Regions from separate parts of the Mus musculus genome. Here all the other regions are reported to be linked to region 2. Evidence: microRNA targets listed by miRTarBase, many of them from high-throughput screens and not tested one by one. Region 2 holds a microRNA gene; each other region holds the end of a gene's coding sequence.

Evidence for each region. Region 2 holds the annotated microRNA mmu-miR-302c-3p (AAGUGCUUCCAUGUUUCAGUGG, at 1,103-1,124, shown strand). A microRNA usually pairs through its seed, bases 2 to 8, with sites in the 3' UTR of a target mRNA and lowers its output. Matches are read on the target gene's strand: a 7mer-m8 pairs with bases 2 to 8, a 7mer-A1 pairs with bases 2 to 7 and ends in A, and an 8mer does both.
Region 1: the mRNA of Syt13 is a reported target of mmu-miR-302c-3p. Seed matches in the 3' UTR shown: 7mer-A1 at 894-900 and 7mer-A1 at 2,728-2,734.
Region 3: miRTarBase lists Rundc1 as a target of mmu-miR-302c-3p. Seed matches in the 3' UTR shown: 7mer-m8 at 1,551-1,557.

What each region holds. Positions count from the first base shown.
Region 1 is chr2:92,953,234-92,957,465 of GRCm38, forward strand. Syt13 (synaptotagmin XIII) reads left to right here. Exons shown (of 6, transcript NM_030725.4): 6 at 130-2,818. The coding sequence ends at 434. Among named protein-coding and RNA genes, the nearest start is that of Gm13791, 35 kb to the left of the region's middle.
Region 2 is chr3:127,544,304-127,548,303 of GRCm38, forward strand. Mir302c (microRNA 302c) reads left to right here and starts at 1,060; the gene lies at 1,060-1,127. It overlaps Larp7 (La ribonucleoprotein domain family, member 7), which reads right to left. Exons shown (of 13, transcript NM_138593.2): 2 at 3,059-3,243; 3 at 2,787-2,887; 4 at 2,618-2,701; 5 at 2,351-2,515; 6 at 2,173-2,266; 7 at 1,744-2,100; 8 at 1,523-1,667. The coding sequence starts at 3,242. It overlaps Gm51018 (predicted gene, 51018), which reads left to right and starts at 786. Exons shown (of 2, transcript NR_146435.1): 1 at 786-843; 2 at 2,331-2,600. Mir302b (microRNA 302b) reads left to right here and starts at 925; the gene lies at 925-998. It also overlaps Mir302a, Mir302d and Mir367.
Region 3 is chr11:101,433,693-101,437,924 of GRCm38, forward strand. It overlaps Rundc1 (RUN domain containing 1), which reads left to right. Exons shown (of 5, transcript NM_172566.4): 5 at 1-1,974. The coding sequence ends at 625. Among named protein-coding and RNA genes, the nearest start is that of Rpl27, 6.4 kb to the right of the region's middle.

The DNA of each region.
Region 1 (4,232 bases), not on the chromosome of region 2:
GTTCCTGACGTCTGGTAGATACTTAATACTGTTGAGAGAATGCACGGTCCAGTGGAGATGTAGGAAACCCCAAGAAGAAGCAGCTCACTTGCTCCCCTACAACTTTCTTTTCTCTGTACCCCTCCCTAGATGTGTCTGTCAAGGTGACCTTGAAACACCAGGCTCAGAAGCTGAAGAAGAAACAGACAAAACGGGCCAAGCACAAGATCAACCCCGTGTGGAACGAGATGATCATGTTTGAGCTACCGGATGACTTGCTGCGGGCATCCAGTGTGGAGCTGGAGGTGCTGGGCCAGGGCGAGGAGGGGCCGAGCTGCGAGCTGGGCCACTGCAGCCTAGGCCTGCATGCCTCGGGCTCTGAGCGCAGCCACTGGGAGGAGATGCTAAAAAACCCACGCCGGCAGATCGCCATGTGGCACCAACTGCACCTGTAGTCGGCCACCTGCCACCGGCCACTGACCGTCTTTCTTGGACACAGTCATCTTCCAGGCTCAGCTGTCAGTCATCCCTCGTGCTCTGTCCACATGCCTATACCCAAAGACAGATGCAGACGTGTTGGCTGAGGCCAAGACCTCATTCCTCTCTTACTGTATTCCCAATACTAAAAAGTGAGCGGTGGCGCCAGGACAGTGAGTGGGACTGGCACTCAGAAGACTGTATCATGCTCATCTGTGTTATGGAAAAAGATATGTGCCAGGTACCCTCAGTCGGCAGCCCCTGCTCACATTGAGCTGAAGCAGTGGTTCTTAACCTGTGTATCACAACCCTCTATCTCCAAAAAATATTTACATTATGATTCATAACAGTAGCAAAATTACAGTTACAAAGTAGCAATGAGAACAATTCTGTGGTTGGAGATCACCAAAACACAAGAAACTTTCTTATAGGGTCACAGCACTAGGAAGGTTGAGAATCACTGGCTGGCCAGCAGGTCTCTGGGCCACTGGGGGGTCATGCCACACTGATGTTCCGGTGGAATACACAAGCCTCTGTCCTTAGCTAGCACAGGGGTTCTGGAGCAGAGCAGGAGGGGCTGCGCTTGATAAGATCCCTTCTCCCCTATCCAGGCAGCCTTTCCTCTTGATCTCCGGGGGCCCAGCACCAGGACAGTGTGAAGGCAGGAACTCTCTGCTTACTTTATTTCTTCTTTTTTATATTTCTGCTGTTCATATTCCACTCTCGAGCTACATTGTGTGTTTTGACTGTTTTATTTAAGGGATTGGAGTGGGTTGTGTTTGTTTTTTTTTTATCACACGTAGAGTGCCCGTTCCCTGGCAGGCCTAGGTTGCCACTCCTCTGGAGTGTCTGCGGCATTCTGAGGACAGCTGTCATGTCACCCCCCCCCACCCCCAAGCTGACTCCATGTGACAGACCTGTTCTTCTCAGTATGCCTGTACTTCAGGACGAAGTAGCTCTGAGCTTGGCTTGTTCCATCTGGCTATGTAAATGAGGAGGTAGATGAACTTTAAAGAGAAAACGTGGTCTCTTGATAACATGCCTCCCTCCAGTTTGGGGGACATGTCCTTTAACTTGGAAATAACAAAAAGCTAGGTTTGATTGCCCCTGTTGATATTTCCAATAGATGCCCCACTAGGAATCAAATAAGTAGCTAGCTGCAGGGGTAGATACTTGTGAGCCGGAATTCGAGTTGTCATTACTTCCTTGCTCCACAGCGCCTCAGTGTGGCCACCTATAGCACAGCACCAATGTCATGGGAGCTTGCCAGTCCAGCTTCAGGAGGTAAGCAAGAGGCATCTTAGCGGGCATCAATTGTTACTGGTCAGTTGGTGGCACTTCCTGGCTCCTCCGTTGGCTGTGCTTCTTCTCCAAAACCTCCTCTGTAAATTGCTCAGAGATGTTAGACTGGGAACCAAAAACTTTCAGTCACCTTTTACATCGGCTTAATCTGTTTCCAGCCATTCCTGTAAGTCACCTCCGAATCAGCTTGGGAAGGAACCTCTCTATGTCTTTGCCAGGGAGTGATTTCTGGAAAGAGGTGGAAATAAAGTGAGAGGCCATTCCAGGCTGGGCTACTGCTGGGAGGTTAGGAGTTCACCCCAGTCCTCTGTGAATCCTCTCCCCAGGACAACTAGGCATCTATTTGTTGAGTGTTTGTCCACCAAGACCGTGCATGTGTCTGTCCATTCTGATTAGAGAAGGCTCTGGGGGCGAGTGAGTAGCTTATCACCTTAACGGAAACATCAGATAAGAGGAGTCCGGGACTGCTGTTCAGGCGGGCAGCTCTCAGATGTAAAGGGGCCCCGGGGGAAGGGGCAGTGTCTGGCCTGAACTGAGGTGGGAATCTTTGGAGGAGAAAGTTGGTCCTGTGCAGTGTTTCTACCCTTGCTGTTTCCTGTTGTTAGATGCTGCGTGTTTGTGATGCCATTCCACATAAAAGCACAAAAAGTCGCATGAGACATCGTGGTCACATGTCTGGTTACACTTTGGAGCACAAAATCTTACAGTGGTAAATAAATCGTTTTCCAATCGGGTTGGCAGCCCAGTGTTTCTCTTTGTTCCTTTACATTAATATTTTAGATGTATAAAATTCAGAAAAAAAATCTCGTGTATCAAACACCCATGAACCTCTGCCAACTTCAATAAACCTTGACGACCACAGTTGAATTTTCTTCTTGTGCCCTATACTGAGAAGACCAGGATCTTACATTCTGATTTGTTATTCTGAGCCTTCCTTTATATTTTTACTAAATGATCATTTGATCCCTGAGCACTAGTGAGTATTTGTGTGTTTCCAAGTTTTACTTCAATTCTTAAATTGCATCACACATTTTTTTTCAACATTAAAAATTTAAGCTTTATGCAGACATGTGGCTCTAACTAACTTCTCTTTCACAACTGTATAATATTCCACTGTATGGATCTGCCACAGCCCATTCTATTGATGTACATTTAAAACACACACACTCTCTCTCTCTCTCTCTCTCTCTCTCTCTCTCTCTCTCTCTCTCCCTCTCTCTCTCTGCCGTTGTTTCCCATGTACATGTATCGTCTCTTGGGGGAAATGTCGAAAAGTGAGTGGAGCTGCTAGGAAAAATAGAAAGAAGCGTGTGCATGTGTGTGTCTGTGTGTGGGGAAATGTTTGTGAGTGTAGGTGTGTGGGTGTGGGTGTTTGTGGGGGAGTGTGTTTGTGTGTGTGTGTGTGTTTGTGTGTGTGTGTGTGTGTTTTGGAGCTTTGACTTCATTCCTGGTAAGGAATATCCAGTGGGTTCTTGAGACTCTTCAAGACTCCCCCCAGCACCCCATCAGTGGAGGATCGAGGAAACAGAGGACAGACAGAGGCAATGGCCTCCTGGAATTCTGCCACCCTAAGCTACCCAGGTGACCCATCTCAGATCTGGCCTCTGAAGGAGGTGTCTTGAGAGTAAGAAAAGGATATTTGATTTTTATTTGAAGGGTTCACTTTATCTTATTTCTGAGACAGGGTCTTTCTCTATATTCCTGGCTGTCCTGGAAAACTCTGTGTAGACCAGACCGGCCTTAAAAATCACAGCTATTTGCCCACTTCTCCCCGAGTGTTGTGATTAAAGAGATGTGTCATCATGGCCGATCAAATTGGAAGGTTCTTAACCAGGAAAGACATCCTGTCAGTCATATGATATTTTCACATTCAGTCCTCACTTTTATACTTCCTATTCCCATTATTACGTCTTAATGGCAACTGGGGGCATTTGTATTTCTGTAATAAGATGGGCTAAGTGGACTTTATTCTACACAGCCAAATAGTATTCACTATAATTCACAGGTAACTGAAGACAGCTCACTGGAGCCCCAAACTAATGTTTGCTATGGCTATCTATAAAAGAGAAACGGTGGGGGTTACTGAATCAAGGGCTTTCCAGTGAAGTGACCTCAACAACAAATCATGCTCACCTCAGCCTGGAGCTGAGTCAGAGCCATGACCATGTAACACTATGTGGTAACTGTCCCTGGCCACTATTAGATCCCCAAGCTAGGTAACTGCCTCTGCACCTAAGCGCTCATATCTATACAATTATTTTGGACTAAATGACCTGCAAGCCCCTTCCAGCTTTAACATTTTTGTATTTCTGCTTCTTAGGGCCATTGCTATGATGAAACAACATGACCAAAAGCAACTTAGGGAGAAAAGGGTTTATATTTGGCTTACATATCGCACACATCACAGTCCATTGAGGGAAGCCAAGGCAGGAATTCAAACAGGGCAGGAACCTGGAGGCAGGAGCTGATGAGAA
Region 2 (4,000 bases):
CAGTGATAAGACGACCCAACTAGAAATCTGAAGTTGATCTAAACACAATGTTCATAGGAACTGCAAGTCTTTCTGACTTTTCTTTCTTTTAAGGCATATGTTTACATTATTTGTTAAGCCATTTGTTAAAGCTACCTAGCAAACACACAAAGGAAGTTTCTTTGTCTTAACAGGCAAGGAAAATGCTTGAGTTTCCTGGTTGCTTCTAATATTTAATTGTAAAATCACTTTTGAGTCACTTCTATTAAGTAAAATCACTAAATCAGGCAACCTGGAGAAAAAGTAAGAGACTAAAACTTAAAGATTTCTCAAATTGCTTCCAATTTGAGAGCTAACATTCCTTAGGATTTACTTGAATCAAAAGGAATTTCTAAGAAGAAAAAAACACCCCATGGAAGCAATTTATTTATTTACATACATTTAACATGTAGATGTATCTTCAAACAGCTAGGGCTCCTCCAGAGAAGCACAATGCATCTCCTGGCTCTGTGGGAGCGCTCATTGTTACCCTAATCTGTGCCATCAAACGGGCAGATAGGAGATTTTTTTTAAAGAGGAGGATATCTTGTGGTAATGGTTTTAGCAGTTAACATTGACATCTGTTTACTTCAAAAAAGGAAAAAAAAAAAAAAAATCCAGACCTACCCAGGTCCCCAGGACCTACTTTCCCCAGAGCTGATACATTAAAATAACAAAGGGTCTTGTAATGATTCTCAGAGATAGAAAGCCAAAAGGAACTCAGGAGTTAGGAGTAGTATAAATACAAGTGGTCTAAAGTCGGCGTCTTTCACCCTCCGAGGACAGAACAGGACTCTTTGGGAGGCGGTCACGAAGGTAAAGGAGGTAAAGCTTATGTCTGTAACCGGGTCACTTTACTTTCCTGTGGGTTTGCTCTTCTGTTTTAACTAGTTGCCTTGTGGGTGGGTTCCCTTCAACTTTAACATGGGAATGCTTTCTGTCTCATCGAAGAGTAAGTGCTTCCATGTTTTAGTAGAAGTGAATTCAAGAAACTCTGGAATAAGAAAGCTAGCCTTTTAATTCAGAGTCTGATGGGAGTCCCCTCTGCTTTAACATGGGGTTACCTGCTGTGTTAAACAAAAGCAAGTGCTTCCATGTTTCAGTGGGGGTGTCTTAAACTGTTCAACATTTTCTCTAAGATGCTGTAGGTTAAGGGAGTTATTGACTGGGCTTCCCACCACTTAAACGTGGTTGTACTTGCTTTAGACCTAAGAAAGTAAGTGCTTCCATGTTTTGGTGATGGTATGTTTTCCTTTATATTCATGCCTTTGTAAAGACCACTCAAGTCTGCTTAAGGGGCCTCCTTTACTTTAACATGGAGGCACTTGCTGTGCATTTAAAAATAAGTGCTTCCATGTTTGAGTGTGGTGGCTCCTACTTAATCTTCATTGTGCTGCATATAGATAGACCAAGGCCGTCACTGTTGCTAACATGCAACTCTGTTGAATAGAAATTGGAATTGCACTTTAGCAATGGTGATGGACCTGTGTCAGTGGCCACTTACTTGGACAGCACTCTCAATGGTATAACCTCCTCGCCCATCTTATGTCTCTCCTTGTGTTTCTTCTTATGCTTCCTCTTCACCTTTGAGAGTGAGTCACCTTTTCTGTCTGTCTCCTTCTCCTCCTCAGTAGAGCAGAATTCTAAGTCTAGAAAAAAGATTTCCGTAAGTCCGTTGTTGTGGTTAAACTGGTTAAAACATTTGTAACCCTACTGCCACGGTACCTCTGCTCTCCTTGGAGACCTCGGAAGCTGCTTGGCCGACGCCATCCTTCTGAGCCCTTTTCTTAGCTTTTGGCCTTGGGGGGAGGCAGTCTTCGTCCTCGGCGCTGCACCTCTCCCTCTTCCCTGCCCTGGCTTCAGGTAAGCTGGATGCTTCCACCTTGTCCCGCTTCTTCTTTTTCTTTGCAGGTTGCTTTGGAGCTTCCGGGGTTTCTGCTTCGGAGCCCTCAGAGGCCGTCCTTGGTCTCTTCGTGGCTTTACACACGCCCGAGCTGCTGCTGTCCACGGCCGACTCTTTGGCCTGCACACTCTCTTCCTTCTTTATTCTGCCTTTTTTCTTTTTCTTCTTTTTCTTCTCTTCTGTAACAAGATTTTATTATTTACAGTCATAATAGTTTATTGTTTACTTGGCCACTCTAAGTAAGCACTCACCTGCTACTCGTAAGGAAGGGATGGGCTTGTTTTTCACTGTCTTGGGAAATATACCAGGCTTTCTAGGTGCTTCTTCTGGTGGGTTGTTCAGAAACTGAAAAGATTGATTGCAGAATTTGTTACTCTTGTTAACCCTGTGCTTTTTCTTTACTTTTCAGGGTCCCACAGAAGTACGTACCTCAATGGCTTTTGCTGCTTGCTCTTTTGTTTCAAATTCCACAAAGGCAAATCCCTTAGGATCCCCAGTAGACTTGTAATGTGGAATACTTATGTAAACCACATTGCCACATTTCCCAAATACTCTCTCAATCCAGCTATGAGTAACATTTTTGGGGAGCAACTCCTGTAATAAATCATGGTATGAACATTTTAAAGTTCCTACATTTTTACCAATAAATGAATTATAAATAAATGAACTAGAATTAAAATTTGTGTCATTTCTTACCACATATACCGTGCGTTCCTCCTCGTCCTTTGGTCTCTCACCTAGGGGTTTTTTCCTCCTGATTCTGGTCCCTTCTAAGTCCAACTTTATGAGGGGGGAAAAAAAAAGGAAAGCTAAATAAAGTCAGTAGTTAATTGGATGTGGGTGACTTGAAATGTAAGTTTTTTACCTCTACAACAGATGAGCTTTTCAATGCTCTGGCTATTAGCTTCCCATCAGTTGTCAGCTTCTTCATTTTGTTAAAAGACACCAGGAGAGAAATGTCCACATCTAGTAAATAGGATAGTGGGATGTTAAACACTGGAATATATACATGTGTGCAAACAAGCACGAGTTCAACATGCAGTTGTGTGTCATGAACATATACAGTACTGAGCTCTCAGGAGGCTCTGGCCCCATATAAATGTGAGTTGGAAATTCCAACAAAGACAAAAAACTTACATCCATCTCTAGACTTTTCAATTTGCTCTCGCAGAAACTTGTCCTTGTGAAGGTTTGCATCTCCAAACCAGAAGTCCACCTGCTTAGCAATATCTGCAAGCACCTGTTTAACCCGGGAGCGCTTCTTTTTTTCTTCTTTTCTCTTAGTGCTTTCTTCCATAGTTTTTTGGTTTTCAGTTTCCATTCTGAGAGGGGAAAAAACAAAAATGCCAAACTGTAAAGTGCCTAAATGCCCCTGTCACCTGAACCTTCCTGCTGCAGGAATTCCTGCTGCAGGACGCCATCTCACTGACATCAGTAAGGATGTTTTTAAAGCTGGTCTGTCAGGCAAGTGCAAATTCTGTAGTAAATTCAAGTAGTAAAACCTCTACCTCAAAAGATGGCCTAGTCAGCCACCACTGGAAAGAGAGGCCCTTTGGACTTGTAAACTTTATATGCCCCAGTACAGGGGAACGCCAAGGCCAAAAAGGGGGAGTGGGTGGGTAGGGGATTGGGGGGGTGGGTATGGGGGACTTTTGGGATAGCATTGGAAATGTAAACGAGGAAAATACCTAATTAAAAAAAAGAGGAAAAAAAAACCCTCTACCTGATAATTACTAATTAAGTACATTGTAGCCCTATGGGGGGGGGGGGAGGGCTGGAGAGATGAACTGCTCCTGAGTTCAATTCCCAGCAACCACATGGTGCCTCACAACCATCTATAATCTGTAAGGGGATCTGCCGCCCTCTTCTGGCGTGTCTGAAGACAGCTACAGTGTACTTGTCTTTAAAAAATAGGTGAATACTGGATCTCATCTCAGGTTTTCAACTCACCGTATCCTTCCAGGCTTTCATTCCTACCATTTAAGCGGAACCCCAATGAGCTCAGTGTTTGCCTAATGCCAACAGTTACCTGACCTCTTCATCTGGCTTTAAGTTTGCCTTTTCTGGATCCTTCCAGAA
Region 3 (4,232 bases), not on the chromosome of region 2:
CACTTCGGCCAACCTCCAGGACCTCTCTCTGGGAGGCAAGGATGAGCTGACCACGGTTGTGCGGAAGGAGCTGACAGTGGCTGTGAGGGACCTGCTGGCCCATGGACTGTATGCCTCCTCCTCTGGGATGAGCCTTGTCATGGCCCCCCTTGCTTGCTTGTTGCCAGTTTTCTCCTCAGCCCCCGAGACCATGCACCCATGGGAGCTCTTTGTAAAGTACTACCATGCCAAGAATGGCCGTGCATATGTGGAATCCCCGGCCCGGAAGCTCTCACAGTCCTTTGCTCTGCCTATAATGGGTGACACTGCTGTGACCCCCAAACAGAGCCTTCTGACAGCCATCCACCTGGTGCTGACAGAGCATGACCCTTTCAAGCGCAGCGCTGACTCAGAACTGAAGGCGTTGGTGTGCATGGCACTGAATGAGCAGCGCCTGGTGTCCTGGGTGAACCTCATCTGCAAGTCAGGGTCCCTCATCGAGCCCCATTACCAGCCCTGGAGCTACATGGCCCACACAGGTTTTGAGAGTGCCCTCAACCTGCTCAGCCGCCTTAGCAGCCTCAAGTTCAGCCTTCCTGTAGACTTGGCCGTGCGCCAGCTCAAGAACATCAAAGATGCCTTTTGATGGGAATGCCTAACCTTAGCCCCCACACACCTTGCTCTAAAGACGTAGATGTCCTAGAATTGTAGATTAAAAGCCAGGGAGTCGGAGGAAGGGTTGGAGATAGGTTTTTTCCACCCTTTTCAGGTGGTCAGCTAATGGAGGCAAAGCCTGTTCTTAGCGTTTTAGAAAGACGTGCCAGAGCCTCTCATCAAAAATAGTGTTGGGGCTGAGAGACAGCTCGCCAGGTCAAGATGCTTGCCATTATACCTGGCAGTCTGAGGGGTACAAGCAGAGAACAGAGCTCTCACTACCTGTCCTCTTACCTCCACACATGAACTATGGCACATGGGAATCCCTGCCCAAACACAAATCAATGTAATAGTAAAATCTAAAACAGAAACAGTATCAGGACCAGAGGTGTAGCTCGGTGGTATGGTGCATGCGAAGCGTGCACAGCCAGTGCTGTGGATGTTAAAAGCAAACAGAAGGCGCTGACCCTAGCCCACCACAGTGTGCCCGGCCCGCTGTTGGAGCCTGTGGTAACAAAATCAATTACCACACAGCTAATGCCCAACTCACCGTGCCATGTCTGAATTTTAGAAAATGTGGGTTGTGCCCACCCTTCTCTTGCTGTATGAGGGAGTTCTGGAAGACACTGACTGACCTTGAGTCTCCTGCTAGACAAGCTGGGAACAGTCTTCCTTTACCAGAAGCAGCTTTGAGAGCCCTAGGGCCAGAACTGTAAGTGCAGTTGTGAGTTCTGATTCCCCTTTGTTCAGAGGGAGTTTTAAGATGAGCCTAAGATGAAGTCTCCCTGCTGAGGCGATCCTCACACTCAGTCAGCACTCCTCTGGTTATAAAGAATGACAGCTGATCTCCTGGGCTGTTTCTCGAAAGTCACTTTCTTCCGTGGGCCTCTCAGGACTGACCCAGTCTTCAGAAGTGAAAGCACTCAGAAGAATCCGTCAGGAGCATACTGCACTGGTGGTGATGGGTGCCACAGCCCCCTGGGGTGTGACTCATTGGCACCACTTGTTGGAGACAGGAGCGTGCAGAGCGGCATGACTGAAGGCTCGCAGTGGGCACTTGCTCCAGGGCTCACTGAGGATGGAGAACCAACTGCCGCCTGTGCTTTGTTCCCTGAAATGCACTTTACCTTGTGTCTGCAGTGTGCACTTTGATGCATCATTGACTTCCTGTTCAAGAACACGGCAGTGTTTGGGCTTGGCGTGCAGCTCCGTGATAGAGTGCTTGCCTGGGAATCCTTAGCACCAACCCCAGGGGGAAAAGATAATTGAAAAATATCATGAATAATGATATAACTGTGATTGCTAATAAAGTTTCAGTATTTTGCGTAGCTTCTCTGCAAAGCCCATAGCTCCTCTGCACTCTCTAAGTCCCTCTAGTCCTATCAGCCCATGTAATCTAGGTCAGCATTTGTTTAGAAACTGTCCACTTCCTCTCTGCCCTGGATTGGTCAGGATCTGGTGGCAGTCTAGGTTTTGTATATGTGTTGTTTTTGTCTGGTCACATTCCCTAAAAAGGCCTTGGTCATTTTCATTCATCTTGCCCAGGCTATAGCGTCAGCACTGCAGTGAATGGCATATACACTGCTTCTGAAAAAGCAGTACTCTTAAGTCCACTGGTGAGGCTGTCAGTGTTTGGGTTGGATGAGATGTCTATAGCATGGCCCAGATACACCCTTGTATTGTCTTTTAAATTTGCACGTGTATGGTGGGGGCAGGGAGCATGAGTTCCATGGCTCTTATCTGGAGTTAGTTCTTCTGTCAGTATGTGGGTTCCAGGAACTGAACTCAAATTACTATGGGATGTGGAAGCAGCTGCTAACGTGAGTGGGACAGCTCTATGTACACAATAGACCCTGGAACTGACAGCCTTAAAAGTGACTGCCACGGGGCTGGAGAGATGGTTCAGCAGTTAAGAGCACTGACTGTCCTAAGGTCCTGAGTTCAAATCCCAGCAACCACATGGTGGCTCACAACCATCCATAATGAGATCTGACGCCCTCTTCTGGTGCATCTGAAGACAGCTACAGTGTACTTACATATAATAAATAAATTAATTAATAAATAAATAAACCTTTGGGCTGAGTGAGCAGGGCCAGAACAGGAAAGAAAGAAAAAAAAAAAAAAGTGACTGCCACTAGGTAGTGACACCCTTAATCCCAGCATTTGGGAGGCAGAGGCAGGCAGATCTCTGAGTTCGAGGCCAGCCTGGTCTACAGAGTGAGTTCCAGGACAGCCTGGGCTACACAGAGAAACCCTGTCTCAAACAAGAAAGCATGTTCTGAGTCCTCTGGAAGAGAAGTGACTGCTCTTAACTGGAGCACTCCAGCCATTGGGGGTTTTTGTTTTTTTGTTTTTTTGTTTTTGTTTTTTTCAAGACAGTGTTTCTCTGTATAGCCCTGGCTGTCCTGGAACTCACTTTGTAGACTAGGCTGGCTTCGAACTCAGAAATCCGCCTGCCTCTTACTCCCGAGTGCTGGGATTAAAGGTGTGTGCCACCACACCCTGCAGCCTTTTGGGTTTTGGGTTTTTTTTTGTTTGTTGTTTTGTTTTTGATGTTTAAGACAGAGTCTCTCTATGTTTCCTAGAGCTCCATATGTAGACCAGGTGGCCTGGAATTCAGAGATCCTCCTGCCCCTGTGTGTAGCAGGCTTGTGCCACCAAGAGGCCTTGTTTTGTTTATGAGGCAGTCTTCACTAGCCTGTGCTGGTCTTGAACTCATGTAGCCAAGGATGACCTTGAACTCCTCTGATCCTCCTTTTACAGCCTCCTGCTGGGATTATAGTCATGGGCCACCACTCTAGACACAGGTCCTTTTGTTGAGCTACATAATAGCGTGTCAAAGAAATCTCCTTTACCATTCATTTTGGCTCTCTGTAGTGCTTCACACTTGGTGTTCCCCGATGCAGTCAGCCGGTGTGACACTTGTCAGGAGGCCGCCTTCAGGAGATGTCAGTATGCACCTGCAGGCTCACACTGAGCACCATGGAAGCCATGATGGATAGGGAACTTGATGTGCAGACAAACATCAAGCCAGGCAGGTAGAAGAGGCCGAACATCGTAGTCAGCTACTCCCTGATAAAAGAGTCCATTTCAAAACTGGTGGACAGGGAGTCATCACAGTGCTTAAGAGCATTGACCGCTCTTCCAGAGATTCCTGGGATCAATTCCCAGCACCCACATAGTGGCTGCCAAGCATCTGCAGAATCAGGGAATCTGGTGCTCTTTTCTGACCTGCATGCAGGCATGAATGAGATACATAGGCAAACATTTAGGTAAAACACCACATACGTTAAAAAAAGTTTATCCTATAGGTGGAACAACAATATGAACTAACCAGTACCACCCCCACCCTCCCACCCCCCGGAGCTCGTGTCTCTAGCTGCATATGTATCAGAAGATGGCCTAGTCAGCCATCAGTGGAAAGAGAGGCCCCTTGGTCGTGCAAACTTTATATGCCTCAGTACAAGGGAACACCAGGACCAAGAAGTGGGAGTGGGTGGGTGGGGGAGCGTGTGGGGGAGTTTTGGAATAGCATTAGAAATGTAAATGAAATAAATACCCAATTAAAAAAAAAAGGAAAAAAAAAGAAATGAATAGTG